3 linked regions of the Pelodiscus sinensis genome follow. The protein of the gene in region 3 interacts with the protein of the main gene of each other region in a pairwise test. Links are inferred from orthologs where the notes say so. Each region holds a gene or a part of one and is shown on either strand. Other genes may lie near its edges.

Region 1 (3,741 bases), on a different chromosome or scaffold from region 3:
GAAAATGGAAGAACTAAAGACAGCTCTTCCAGAGTCTGGGTTGGGAATCTCGGAGGAGGAGCGAGTGCAGATTGTTAGTGCCTTGGGTTATCCACGAGGTCACTGGTTCAAGTGCCCCAATGGCCACATTTACGTGATTGGTGATTGTGGTGGGGCAATGGAGAAGAGCAAGTGCCCAGAGTGTAAGGAAGTTATTGGAGGTGCAAACCACACTCTGGAACACAGCAACCGTTTAGCTCCTGAAATGGATGGGGCAACTCATGCGGCCTGGTCAGAAACTGCAAATAACATGCTCAACTTTGAGGAACTCCGCAGGATGATATAGAAGAGCTACATTTGGCTCAGTAGTACACCTTTTAACCCCATGAATGCTCTTTCTTCCCCACTGCCAAGCTGCATAGCACGTGGAGTAGCCAGCGGGTGCTCACTGGCTCTGTTTGACAAATTGGATTTCTTGTGATTAACACTTGCTGTGTTTGTTGCTAGAACTAGTCCTATTTCCTACTCGCACTTTATATGTCGAATCAAGCAACTGAATGAAATAGATGTAACAAATTCATCTGCTTTAGCCTGAAGCATGCGCGGGGCCTAATGTAGTTCCAGGGCTGGCTGGCACCAGTCGGTGGCATCAGCCCCTGCAGTAGCTCTGGCTATTGCTCATTGCACTGAGTGTTTAACCCTCAATCTTTTATAGCTCAATAAATTTTATTCATAGTCATTTAAATGCAATATTTCCTGGGAGCAGCCTCGCCCCCCCCCGGAGAGACCGGGACACCCCGCTACAGGTCCGCTCCTCCCCACCGGCCCACTATTGGCGCGGCCGGAAGTCGCTCTGGTGCCCCAAGGAAGGGCTCGGGCACGACCGGAAGTAGCTGTGGGGTTTCAGTGACGGGGGAGCGCGTGACCGGAAGAAGTTCTGGTGCCCCACTAAGCGAGGTCCGGTTCGGCTGCAAGTAGCTCAGGTGACCCGTTGAATCGGATCCGGGCGCTGCTGGAAGCAGCTGTGGAGTCTCACTGAGGGCTGGGAATTGGCCGGAAGTAGCTGGGGGGGGGGGGGCTCAGGGATGGGCTAGGGTCAGTAACCCTGGTGCCTCAAGTGCCGGAAGTTATTCTAGTGACTCACTCGGTGGGGGCAGGGCGCAGCCGGAAGTAGCTGGGGGGGGGCTCAGGGATGGGTTAGGGTCAGTAACCCTGGTGCCTCAAGTGCCGGAAGTTATTCTAGTGACTCACTCGGTGGGGGCAGGGCGCAGCCGGAAGTAGCTGGGGGGGGGGGTCTCAGGGATGGGTTAGGGTCAGTAACCCTGGTGCCTCAAGTGCCGGAAGTTATTCTAGTGACTCACTCGGTGGGGGCAGGGCGCAGCCGGAAGTAGCTGGGGGGGGTCTCAGGGACCTAGACCAGCATCCTGTCTGCCACAGTGGCCAAGGCCGGGTGCCCCAAAATAGCTCCGGCGTCTGACTAGGAGAGGCCCGGGCGGGGCCGGAAGTAGCTTGGGGGCAGGAGGGGTCTGAAGACGGGGCAGGGCGCGACCAGAAGTGACCCTGGTGCCTCACTGAATGGGGTCCGGCCTCGGCCGGAAGTAGCTCGGGGTGGGGTCTCACTGAGTAGACTTCCGGCGAGGCCGGAAGTAGTCCTGGTGCTCTGACGCTGGAGTCCGGACTCGAGCCCCTTTGAGCGGCGCCCGGCTCATTGCTCGGCCGTGTTTTGCTGACGGTCCCCACGCCCCGTGTGCGTGCGCAGAAAGCGCAGAGACCTTGGGGCTGAGCGGATGGAGCCGGGGGGTGCGGAGCTCGCGCGGGCGCTGGAGCCGCTGAGGCAGCTCGGCGAGGTGCTGCGCGCGGCCCTGGCCCGGCTCCGAGGTGCGGCCGCGGGGCGGGGCGGGGGGGCGGGGGACGTTGATCCGGGGGAGGCGGCGGTGCCGGGGGGGCGGGCGGGGGGGGATCTGGGGGAGGCGGCGGTGCCCCGGGGGGCGGGCGGGGGGAGATCCGGGGGAGGCGGCGGTGCCGGGGGGGCGGGCGGTGGGGGATCCGGGGGAGGCGGCGGTGCCCCGGGGGGCGGGCGGGGGGAGATCCGGGGGAGGCGGCGGTGCCGGGGGGGCGGGCGGGGGGGATCCGGGGGAGGCGGCGGTGCCGGGGGGGCGGGCGGGAGGGGGATCCGGGGGAGGCGGCGGTGCCGGGGGGGCGGGCGGGAGGGGGATCCGGGGGAGGTGGCGGTGCCCCGGGGGGCGGGAGGGGGGGGATCCGGGGGAGGCGGCGGTGCCGGGGGGGCGGGCGGGGGGGATCCGGGGGAGGCGGCGGTGCCCCGGGGGGCGGGCGGGGGGGGATCCGGGGGAGGCGGCGGTGCCCCGGGGGGCGGGCGGGGGGGATCCGGGGGAGGCGGCGGTGCCCCGGGGGGCGGGCGGGGGGGATCCGGGGGAGGCGGCGGTGCCCCGGGGGGCGGGCGGGGGGGGATCCGGGGGAGGCGGCGGTGCCCCGGGGGGCGGGCGGGGGGGGATCCGGGGGAGGCGGCGGTGCCGGGGGGGCGGGCGGGGGGGGATCCGGGGGAGGCGGCGGTGCCGGGGGGGCGGGCGGGGGGGGATCCGGGGGAGGCGGCGGTGCCCCGGGGGGCGGGCGGGGGGGATCCGGGGGAGGCGGCGGTGCCCCGGGGGGCGGGCGGGAGGGGGATCCGGGGGAGGCGGCGGTGCCGGGGGGGCGGGCGGGGGGGGATCCGGGGGAGGCGGCGGTGCCCGGGGGGGCGGGCGGGGGGGATCCGGGGGAGGCGGCGGTGCCGGGGGGGGGCGGGCGGGGGTGGATCCGGGGGAGGCGGCGGTGCCGGGGGGGGGCGGGCGGAGGGGATCCGGGGGAGGCGGCGGTGCCCCGGGGGGCGGGCGGGCGGAGGGGATCCGGGGGAGGCGGCGGTGCCCCGGGGGGCGGGCGGGCGGAGGGGATCCGGGGGAGGCGGCGGTGCCCCGGGGGGCGGGCGGGCGGAGGGGATCCGGGGGAGGCGGCGGTGCCCCGGGGGGCGGGCGGGCGGAGGGGATCCGGGGGAGGCGGCGGTGCCCCAGGGGGCGGGCGGGCGGAGGGGATCCGGGGGAGGCGGAGGTGCCCCGGGGGGCGGGCGGGGGGGGATCCGGGGGAGGCGGCGGTGGCCCGGGGGGCGGGCGGGGAGGCGGCCCTTTCTGAGCGCCGCGCTGGTGTCTTTGCAGATGGGGAGTCGCGGGAGAGCAGTGAGGCCTTCGAGCAGCAGCGCTTCTGGGACACGCTGGGTAAGGGCCTGGTGTGGCGGGCGGGCCCAGGACTCCCAGCCCACGGGCCCCGGGCTGCAGTGGAGGAGCCCAGCTGAAGAGCGGTGCGCTAAAGGGATCAATGTGGAAAAGAAACCGCCCAGGAGCTTCTGCTGGTCCGCCAGGGACCGCACCGGGGACCTCATGTTGTGCTGGCACTTGGTCCGCAAGCGCAAACGATTTCCCTCAGAACAGCTTCCAAAGGTTTTACGAGCCCTGCCCTCAGTATCGGATTGCACAATTAAAAAACATCATGGGGGTCTTAAGATGTTCACTCTTGGAGAAATTTACAAGTTGAATTTATGGCAGTGCTTTTGGGGTTTGCTAAATTCAGTCCCGTAATTGGGGAAGCCACTTCATTGCTTTTTCAGTTAATGGATATGAACCTGTCAGAGGATGATCATAGAGCTGGAAGAGACCTCAGGAGGTCATCAAGTCCAGCCCCGTGCCCAAAGCAGGACCAATCCCAACTAAATCAACC
Region 2 (3,741 bases), on a different chromosome or scaffold from region 3:
GGATCTGGACACAAGCTGATCTCCAGCGGCAAGATACTCCAGACCTGCGGTTCCAGTACCAAGGCAGGGACATCTAAGCGCTATCCCAGGTCTGACACTGGTTTGCCAGGTGACCTTGGGCAAGGCACTTAAACCACCCAGGATTTATCCTTGCAACCCCCATTGTACAAGGGGAACCAGGAGAGCCTAAAACCTAGCTCTTCAAATTAGTGGCACTTCAGAGCCAAATACCTTGGACTTTAGATCAGGCCAGGCAGGTAAAGATGTCTCCTGGTACAACGTCAGCCAGCCCAATTTGCCATGGCTCAGGCATGTGGCAAGTAAACCAGCACCCCCCCCTCCTCCCGCTCAGCACGTGTGGGACACCTCCACCAGGAACCAATAACCATCAAGGCATAACTCCAGCTGGTGGCAACGTGGTGGCTTGTTCTTGGCTGAACAAAAGCTGGGGAGAAATCTCAGACTCAAATCCACGGCAGAGAAAGCCTCAGGCAGCTGGCACGGCCACCCAGCTCCGCCCTCCGGCACCTCCTGAGGCTCTGCTGGCTCTTTGACTCTGCCCCGGGGGTGGGGAGGGCTTTGGGCCCTACGGCAAGGCCCCGTCTCTTTTCCCCTCACCTAGGCGTACGTGGGGCAAGTTCGGCCGGCACAGGCCTGGAGACCACAGGGTGAGTGAAATGCTGCAGCGCCTCGGCTGTTGTCTTTGGAGGCAGACAGCTGCCAGCGGCATCCCTGTGGGAGCTAGGCCTAAGCACCACCCAGGAAGCCAGCGAGAGAACGGGGACTTGCGCCCAGCTCTGGCAAGCCTCCCTACTGCCCTGCAGACAGCCCGCTGCCCCTCCAGCACCCCCACCCTGGCGGACATTTCCCCCCTCGCTGGGGCTGCCAGCTGGATCTGGGGAGTTCATTCTGCTGTGCATCTCTCTTGCACACACACTTCCCTGGCCTGCACACACACACACTTCCCTGGCCTGCACACACACACGCACACACTTCCCTTGCCAACACACACACTCTTCCCCGACCTGCACACACACACACACACACACACACACTTACTTCCCTTGCCTACACACACACACACTTCCCTGGCCTGCACCTGCACACACACACACTTACTTCCCTTGCCTACACACACACACACACACTTCCCTGACCTGCACACACACACACACACACTTCCCTTACCTAAACACACACACTTCCCTGGCCTGCACACACTTCCCTTGCCAACACACACACTTCCCCGACCTGCACCTGGGCGCGCGCGCACACACACACACACACACACACACACACACTTACTTCCCTTGCCTACACACACACACACACACACACACTTACTTCCCTTGCCTACACATACTTCCCTACCCCCTCCCCTCCCCTCCACTTACTTCCCTTGCCTGCTGCGCCAAGCAGGATTGGTCCACACCGCCAGGCGCTCCCCCCCCCCCCCCACACACACACTTTTGCGCGTGCGCTCCACTCGGGGAAATAAGGCAGCTGCGCTGCGCCTACACACGGAGCCTTACGGCCGCGGGGTGTATCGGCCCGCGGGCAGCGGCCGGGCTGCCTGCAGCCGGGCAGGTGGAGGCGGCGGGGCCGGGGCTGTCGGGGGGCCGGGCTGCGGGGCAGAGGCTGCGCTAGGCGGCCCGTCGGGCAGGAGCGGGGATGGAGGGGCCGGGCTGCGAGCCGCTGCCCCCCGACCTGAAGGAGCTGGAGGGCAAGGTGGGGCGGCGGCCCCCCGACGGGCTGCTGCGGTGGCTGCGGGAGGACCCGGCCGCGGCGCTGCTCGGGGAGAGCCCGGCCCGGGGGCAGCGCCGGGGGCTGGCCGGCAAGATCAAGGCGCTGAAGCTGGAACTGGTGAGTGGGAGACCCCCGCCCACTGCCTGGTCTGCCCCCCCGAGCCCCTCCCCCGCCTGACCCCCCAGCTCCCTCCCCATCTCCCCCTGTCCCCCATCTTCTCCCCCGCTGCCTGGTCTGCCCCCCCCCCGCTTTCCTCTCCCGCCTGACCCCCCCAGCTCCCTCCCCATCTCCCCCTGCCCCCCATCTTCTCCCCCACTGCCTGGTCTGCCCCCCCCGCCTGACCCCCCAGCTCCCTCCCCATCTCCCCCTGCCCCCCATCTTCTCCCCCTCTGCCTGGGCTCTCTCTCCGGCTTCACAGCCTCCTCCTCACCTTCTCCCTCCCCATCTCCCTCCTCCCCACTGCCTGGCCTGCCCCTCCCCCGCCTGACCCCCCAGCTCCCTCCCCATCTCCCCCTGCCCCCCATCTTCTCCCCCACTGCCTGGGCTCCCTCCCCGGCTTCACAGCCTCCTCCTCACCTTCTCCCTCCCCATCTCCCTCCTCCCCACTGCCTGGTCTGCCCCCCCCCCCCGAGCCCGCCCCCCGCTTTCCTCCCCCGCCTGACCCCCCCAGCTCCCTCCCCATCTCCCCCTGCCCCCCATCTTCTCCCCCACTGCCTGGGGTCCCTCCCCAGCACCACCGCCTCCTTCTCATCTGCCCCCCCGCCTGCGCCTCCTCATCTCCCCCCCACTACTGGCCTGCCCCCCCAGCTCGCCCCCATCCTCCAGCTCTCTCCCCCTGCCCCCCATCTTCTTCTCCACTGCCTGGTCTCCCTTCCTAGCACCACAGCATCCTCCCCATCTTCCCCCCCCTCCGCCTGCCCCTTCTCATCTTCCTCCTCCCCCCTCACTCCCTGCTGCCTGGTCTCCCTCCCTGGAGCTTCAGCCTCTTCTCCATCCCCCCCCCTTTGCCAGTCCCTGGGGCTATACTCCTTCTCCCCATACTTGCCCCTGTCCCTTCCCATCACCCCTGGGGCCCCAATCTCTCTACCCCCCATGCCACTCCCACCTGCTCCCTGTGGCTTCTGGCAGCCCTGCTTTCCCCCTTGCCTGCCCCCTTGGGCTACGGCCTCCCACCTCCTCTTCCCTTCCCTCTTTGGGCTACAGCCCCCCTCCCCATCTGCCCCTCACCCTGTCTGCCCCTCGGGCCTGCAGCCTCCCATCACATCCTCCCTTCTCCACTGGAGCCACACCTCCCCCTTGATCTCCCCGGGGGCGAGGGTTGGGACAGTTCTTCCCCTCTCTGCGCTAGGGCCAACACTGCCCTCCTGCCCCATGGAGTCACCCCCCACCTCCTCTCCCTCTCTGCCCCATGGGGGGCTCAGGGCAGCACCACTCCCTGCTTCCCTGCCCCGTGGGAGGGCGGGGACCGTCCTCTCGCTGCCTGCTCCGTGGGGTCACCGATATTCTGCTCTGCCCATCGCTGGGGCATCTGGCCCCTCCTCTCTAGAGCCAAGCCTGGCTCGGTGGGTGGGGGAAGGGGTTCGTTGTGGTGGGAGAGCCCCGGGGTCTACGCTCTGAACGTGGGGACGTGGCCCCAGGGTTGAGATGCCCGACCCGGCTGGAGTTCCCAGCTCCTCTGGCAGTCAAGCTGCAGGCCCAGGGGGGGGGGGCAGGAGGAGGCAGTGTGGGGTTGGGACTGTCCCCTGATGTCCCTTTGGGTGTTGGCTAGGTCGGGGAGAGCAGCCTCCAAAGGAAAACACTGGAAAGGGGGCCACTGTGCTCCCGGCCTGTCTAACCATGGCTGTTTAAAAGCTTATCGTTAGGGAAAGGAGGAAAGTCTGGTGGATAAACCACACGGCTGGAGTCCAAGAGACCTGGGGCTCTTCCACTGAGTGTCTTGGACAAGTTCCTTACTCTTGTCCCATGCCTCAGTTTCCCCACCTGAAACTCCTCCCT
Region 3 (3,741 bases):
AATCTAGACATGGTTTTGCGCAAGAAAGCCTCGATCGCCATTTTCGCATTTGGGGCTTTTTTGCGCAAAACAATACCGCGTTGTCTACACTGGCCCTCTTGCACAAAAGCAGTTGCGCAAGAGGGCTTTTGCCCGACCGGGAGCAGCATCGTATTTCCGCAAGAACACTGACAATCTTACATGAGATCGTCAGTGTTCTTGCGCAAATTCAAGCGGCCAGTGTAGACAGCTGGTAAGTTTTTGCGGAAAAGCTTGCCAGTCTAGACACAGCCTTGGACTTTCAGAAGGACCGTGGCAGGGCCCCTCCTCCAAGGCCGACGGGTCCCTGGCTGGTTCCTGGGTGGACGCTTTGTGCTGGAGATCGGCCCCGCACCAGGGCTGCTCCCGCGCTTCAGAAATGGCCTGGGCAAAAAGGTAAAGAGTGAGACTGGAAAATTTGCATATGACATTAAATTAGTCATCTCCCCTCCCCCGTCACCAGACAAGGGTCACTGGGGATCCACTGGAGGTGGGAGAGGAGGGAATAGGGGCGGGGCTCTGAGGGAAGGGGGCGGGGTCTGGGCCAGGTGATGGAGAAGGGGCGGGGCCCTGAGGGAAGGGGGCGGGGTCTGGGCCAGGTGACGGAGAAGGGGCGGGGCCCTGAGGGAAGGGGGCGGGGTCTGGGCCAGGTGACGGCGAGGGGCGGGACTCTGAGAGGAGGGGCGGGATCTGTGGCAGGTGATGGAGCAGGGGCGTGGCTCTGAGGACGAGGGGCGGGGCCTGCCGTGGCAGTTGCTGAGGGGGAGGGGCGGGGCCCTGAGGGAAGGGGGCGGGATCTGGGCCAGGTGACGGAGAAGGGGCGGGGCCCTGAGGGAAGGGGGCGGGGTCTGGGCCAGGTGACGGCGAGGGGCGGGACTCTGAGAGGAGGGGCGGGATCTGTGGCAGGTGATGGAGCAGGGGCGTGGCTCTGAGGACGAGGGGCGGGGCCTGCCGTGGCAGTTGCTGAGGGGGAGGGGCGGGGCCTGTCTCCCGGCTGCTCAGCCAGGGCGAGACGCACTCCGATTGGCCGCCGGGGCACCCTGCTCCCCGCCCCCGCCCGCGCTCTCGCGAGCTCGTCGCGGGCCGACGCAGTGGGAGGGGAGCCTCGCGCGCCCATCCCGCTCTCGCGAGAACACGGCGGGAGGCCGAGCTGCGCCTGCGCCAGTCCCGGAGCCGCTGCGGCTGTGGAGGGATGGGAGCGGGGAGGTGAGACCGGAATCCCCCCTCCCCCTCGGGCTACCCCCGCGTCACCGCCTCCACGCGTCACCGCTACGTCACACCCCCGGGAACCCCCCCCCCGCGGGGATTCCCGGGGGTCCCAGCGTCACCGCCCCCGTCACGACCCCGCCCCCCACGGGGCCTCCCTGGCAACAGCCCCCCTGCCCCTCCCCCACCCCTGAGATCTCCCCTCCTGCCCCTCCCCCACCCCTGAGATCTCCCCTCCTGCCCCTCCCCCACCCCTGAGTTCGCCCCCCTGCCCCTCCCCCACCCCTGAGATCTCCCCTCCTGCCCCTCCCCCACCCCTGAGTTCGCCCCCCCCCCGCACCTGCTGCCCCCGCCCAGGGGCTCCATGCTGCCCCCCCTTCCTGCGCAGCTGGGTCCCAGTCCTGGGGGGGCTGGTGGGGGGGGTGTCACCGCGCCGCCGATTAAACGATTTACGGTTTTTGGCAGCCTGGCTCCGCCCCGGGCGCGTGGCTGCGAAGCCTCGTCCGTGTCTCGCGTCGTCGACAGCACTTTTGTCGGCTCCACGATTCACGAACCACACGCTTCTTAACATCCCCGGGGGGGGGGGGGTCTCCTGGCTGTAGGGCTGGCAGGAGGGTGCCCTGGATGGAGGGGTAAGATGGGTGAGACAGAGCCACTGGAGGGGGGGTTGAGTGATTTTCAGGGCCGCCCATCTCTGTCTCCTCACAGATGCCCCGTCACTGCTCTGCTGCCGGCTGCTGCACCCGGGACACCCGCGAGACCCGCAATCGAGGAATCTCCTTCCATCGGTAGGAAGTAACCTGGCCCTGCAACCTACCTTCACAACCAGCCATTCCAGCCCCCCCTTCCTCCCACCCCGTGGGGAAGGTATAAGGCAGGGTCACCAACCAGAACGTTGGGATCTGTCGGTAGATCTCAGAGCCTCTGACAAGGGATCCTGACTGGTTTGCCTGGGAAGCTCTCAAGCGCTGGCGCTTCAGTTGCCTCTCCACCCACTGTCCTGCTGCTCCTGTCCTCTGCCTCGGAGCTGCCCCCCTGGGAGCTTCCTGCTTACTTTGCAGGTGTGGGGGAGGGGGCACACCTGCAGAGCAAGCAGATGGAGGGGCAAAAAGATGGGGGGCACTGATGTCAGGGTGTCCCTCCTCCACCCACTTCTGTACCTTGTCTCCACACAGAGAGAAGGGGATGGATTTGGCAATGCAAATCTCTATCACTGTCACACGCTGTGTGTGTGTGTCTGTCATTCTCAGAAACACACACTGTCCTTCACTCTCATCCCCCAATCCAACACATATGTGGGTTGTTGTTGTTGTTACGTCTGTTCCTGCTTGCAGAGTGGGTTATTTTTTGTTTCTGACTGGACTGTGCATTTCATAATTTTCATTTTTCTCTTACGCTTACATTTAATTCTTTGGGCAGTGAGTTTTAAAATGCCAAACCTGCCGTGGCTGGAGTCATTATCCCCGTGGTAATTGCTGCTCCTGGAAGTGGCTGGCATGTCCCTGCAGCCCCTGAGAGAGGCAGAGCAGGGGGTCTCCACGTGTTGTCCTGGCCTGCAGACACCGCCCCTGCAGCCCCCATTGATCAGTAATGGGGAACAGTAGAAGCTGTGGGCTCAGTGCCGGTAGAGGAGGGGCAGCACATGGCACCATGGAGCCGTTGCTGTACGTGCCAGCTGCTTTCAGGAGTGGAGCAGGGCCAGGCCAGGGGTAAGCTGCCTTAACCCCACTGCTCCACCACCTGGAAGCCATCTCAGTTAAACAGTGCACAGCCCGAGCCTGCTTCCTGAACCCCTGGCCCAGGCCTGAACCTCCTCCTGCCCCCAACATGAGTCCCTCTGCACCCAAACTCCTTCCCAGAGCTTGCAGCCTCCTGGACCCCAGTCTCCTACCATGGGCTAAGCCCTGAGCCCTTCCCACACTCCAAACCCCTTGGCCCAAGACCAGAGCCTGCACCCCTACTAGCCTGTTGAAAGTGAGCAAGGAAGGGGGATGGAGTGAGCAGGGTGAGGCCTCAGAGAAGGGGCGGAACGGGGCAGGGCCTCAAAGAAGGTGCGGGAAGGAAGTGGGGCCAGGGTCTTTGGGCTTGAGGTAGATTTCACATTTCACTGAACTTGAAAAAGTGATCTTGTGGTTAAAAAGGTTGGAGGCCACTGGTGTAAGGGGACAGCCAGGTGCGCAGAATGGCAGTACCTTTAACACCAACAGAAAAGACATACCTTCTCACCCAGCCGACTTGCATGACTTCCTGCCACAAAGAGACATTCGTCATCGGAGCTTGTTGCTTCAAAACCACCGTCCAGACCCGGGATTATCAAGGAATTGCTGAGGAGTTAGGACGAATCTTCCCTTCTCAGCAGGTTATTCCAGAACTGCCCACTAGGGGGTGCCTTACCTCTTCATCTGCAGCTGCCAGAGTTCTGCCAGAGCCCAGATGCTGGGCTAGATGGGCTTTTCGTGTGATCTATTCTGGCTGGTCCTGCATCCCAGCTCTGGTGGAGACTTTGGCGGTTCAGTG

The links.
Region 1: the proteins of THAP7 (region 3) and CCNDBP1 interact in binary tests that used the Homo sapiens proteins (3 or more experiments, as listed by UniProt). The two-hybrid records come from large-scale screens. The link is inferred for Pelodiscus sinensis from reciprocal best matches to the Homo sapiens genes THAP7 and CCNDBP1.
Region 2: the proteins of THAP7 (region 3) and LURAP1 interact in a two-hybrid assay, tested with the Homo sapiens proteins (2 studies listed by BioGRID and IntAct). The two-hybrid records come from large-scale screens. The link is inferred for Pelodiscus sinensis from reciprocal best matches to the Homo sapiens genes THAP7 and LURAP1.

What each region holds. Positions count from the first base shown.
Region 1 is NW_027465987.1:396,285-400,025, reverse strand, and holds the start of CCNDBP1 (cyclin-D1-binding protein 1), read left to right. Parts: upstream 1-1,385; 5' UTR 1,386-1,766; coding exon 1,767-1,857; intron 1,858-3,182; coding exon 3,183-3,242; intron 3,243-3,741. Other genes in the region: ZNFX1 (NFX1-type zinc finger-containing protein 1), read left to right, coding at 1-325. UniProt on the Homo sapiens protein: May negatively regulate cell cycle progression. May act at least in part via inhibition of the cyclin-D1/CDK4 complex, thereby preventing phosphorylation of RB1 and blocking E2F-dependent transcription.
Region 2 is NC_134719.1:2,895,776-2,899,516, forward strand, and holds the start of LURAP1 (leucine rich adaptor protein 1), read left to right. Parts: upstream 1-1,496; 5' UTR 1,497-1,671; coding exon 1,672-1,863; intron 1,864-3,741. UniProt on the Homo sapiens protein: Acts as an activator of the canonical NF-kappa-B pathway and drive the production of pro-inflammatory cytokines. Promotes the antigen (Ag)-presenting and priming function of dendritic cells via the canonical NF-kappa-B pathway.
Region 3 is NW_027465849.1:2,982,737-2,986,477, forward strand, and holds the start of THAP7 (THAP domain-containing protein 7), read left to right. Parts: upstream 1-1,068; 5' UTR 1,069-1,224; intron 1,225-1,932; coding exon 1,933-2,012; intron 2,013-3,741. UniProt on the Homo sapiens protein: Chromatin-associated, histone tail-binding protein that represses transcription via recruitment of HDAC3 and nuclear hormone receptor corepressors.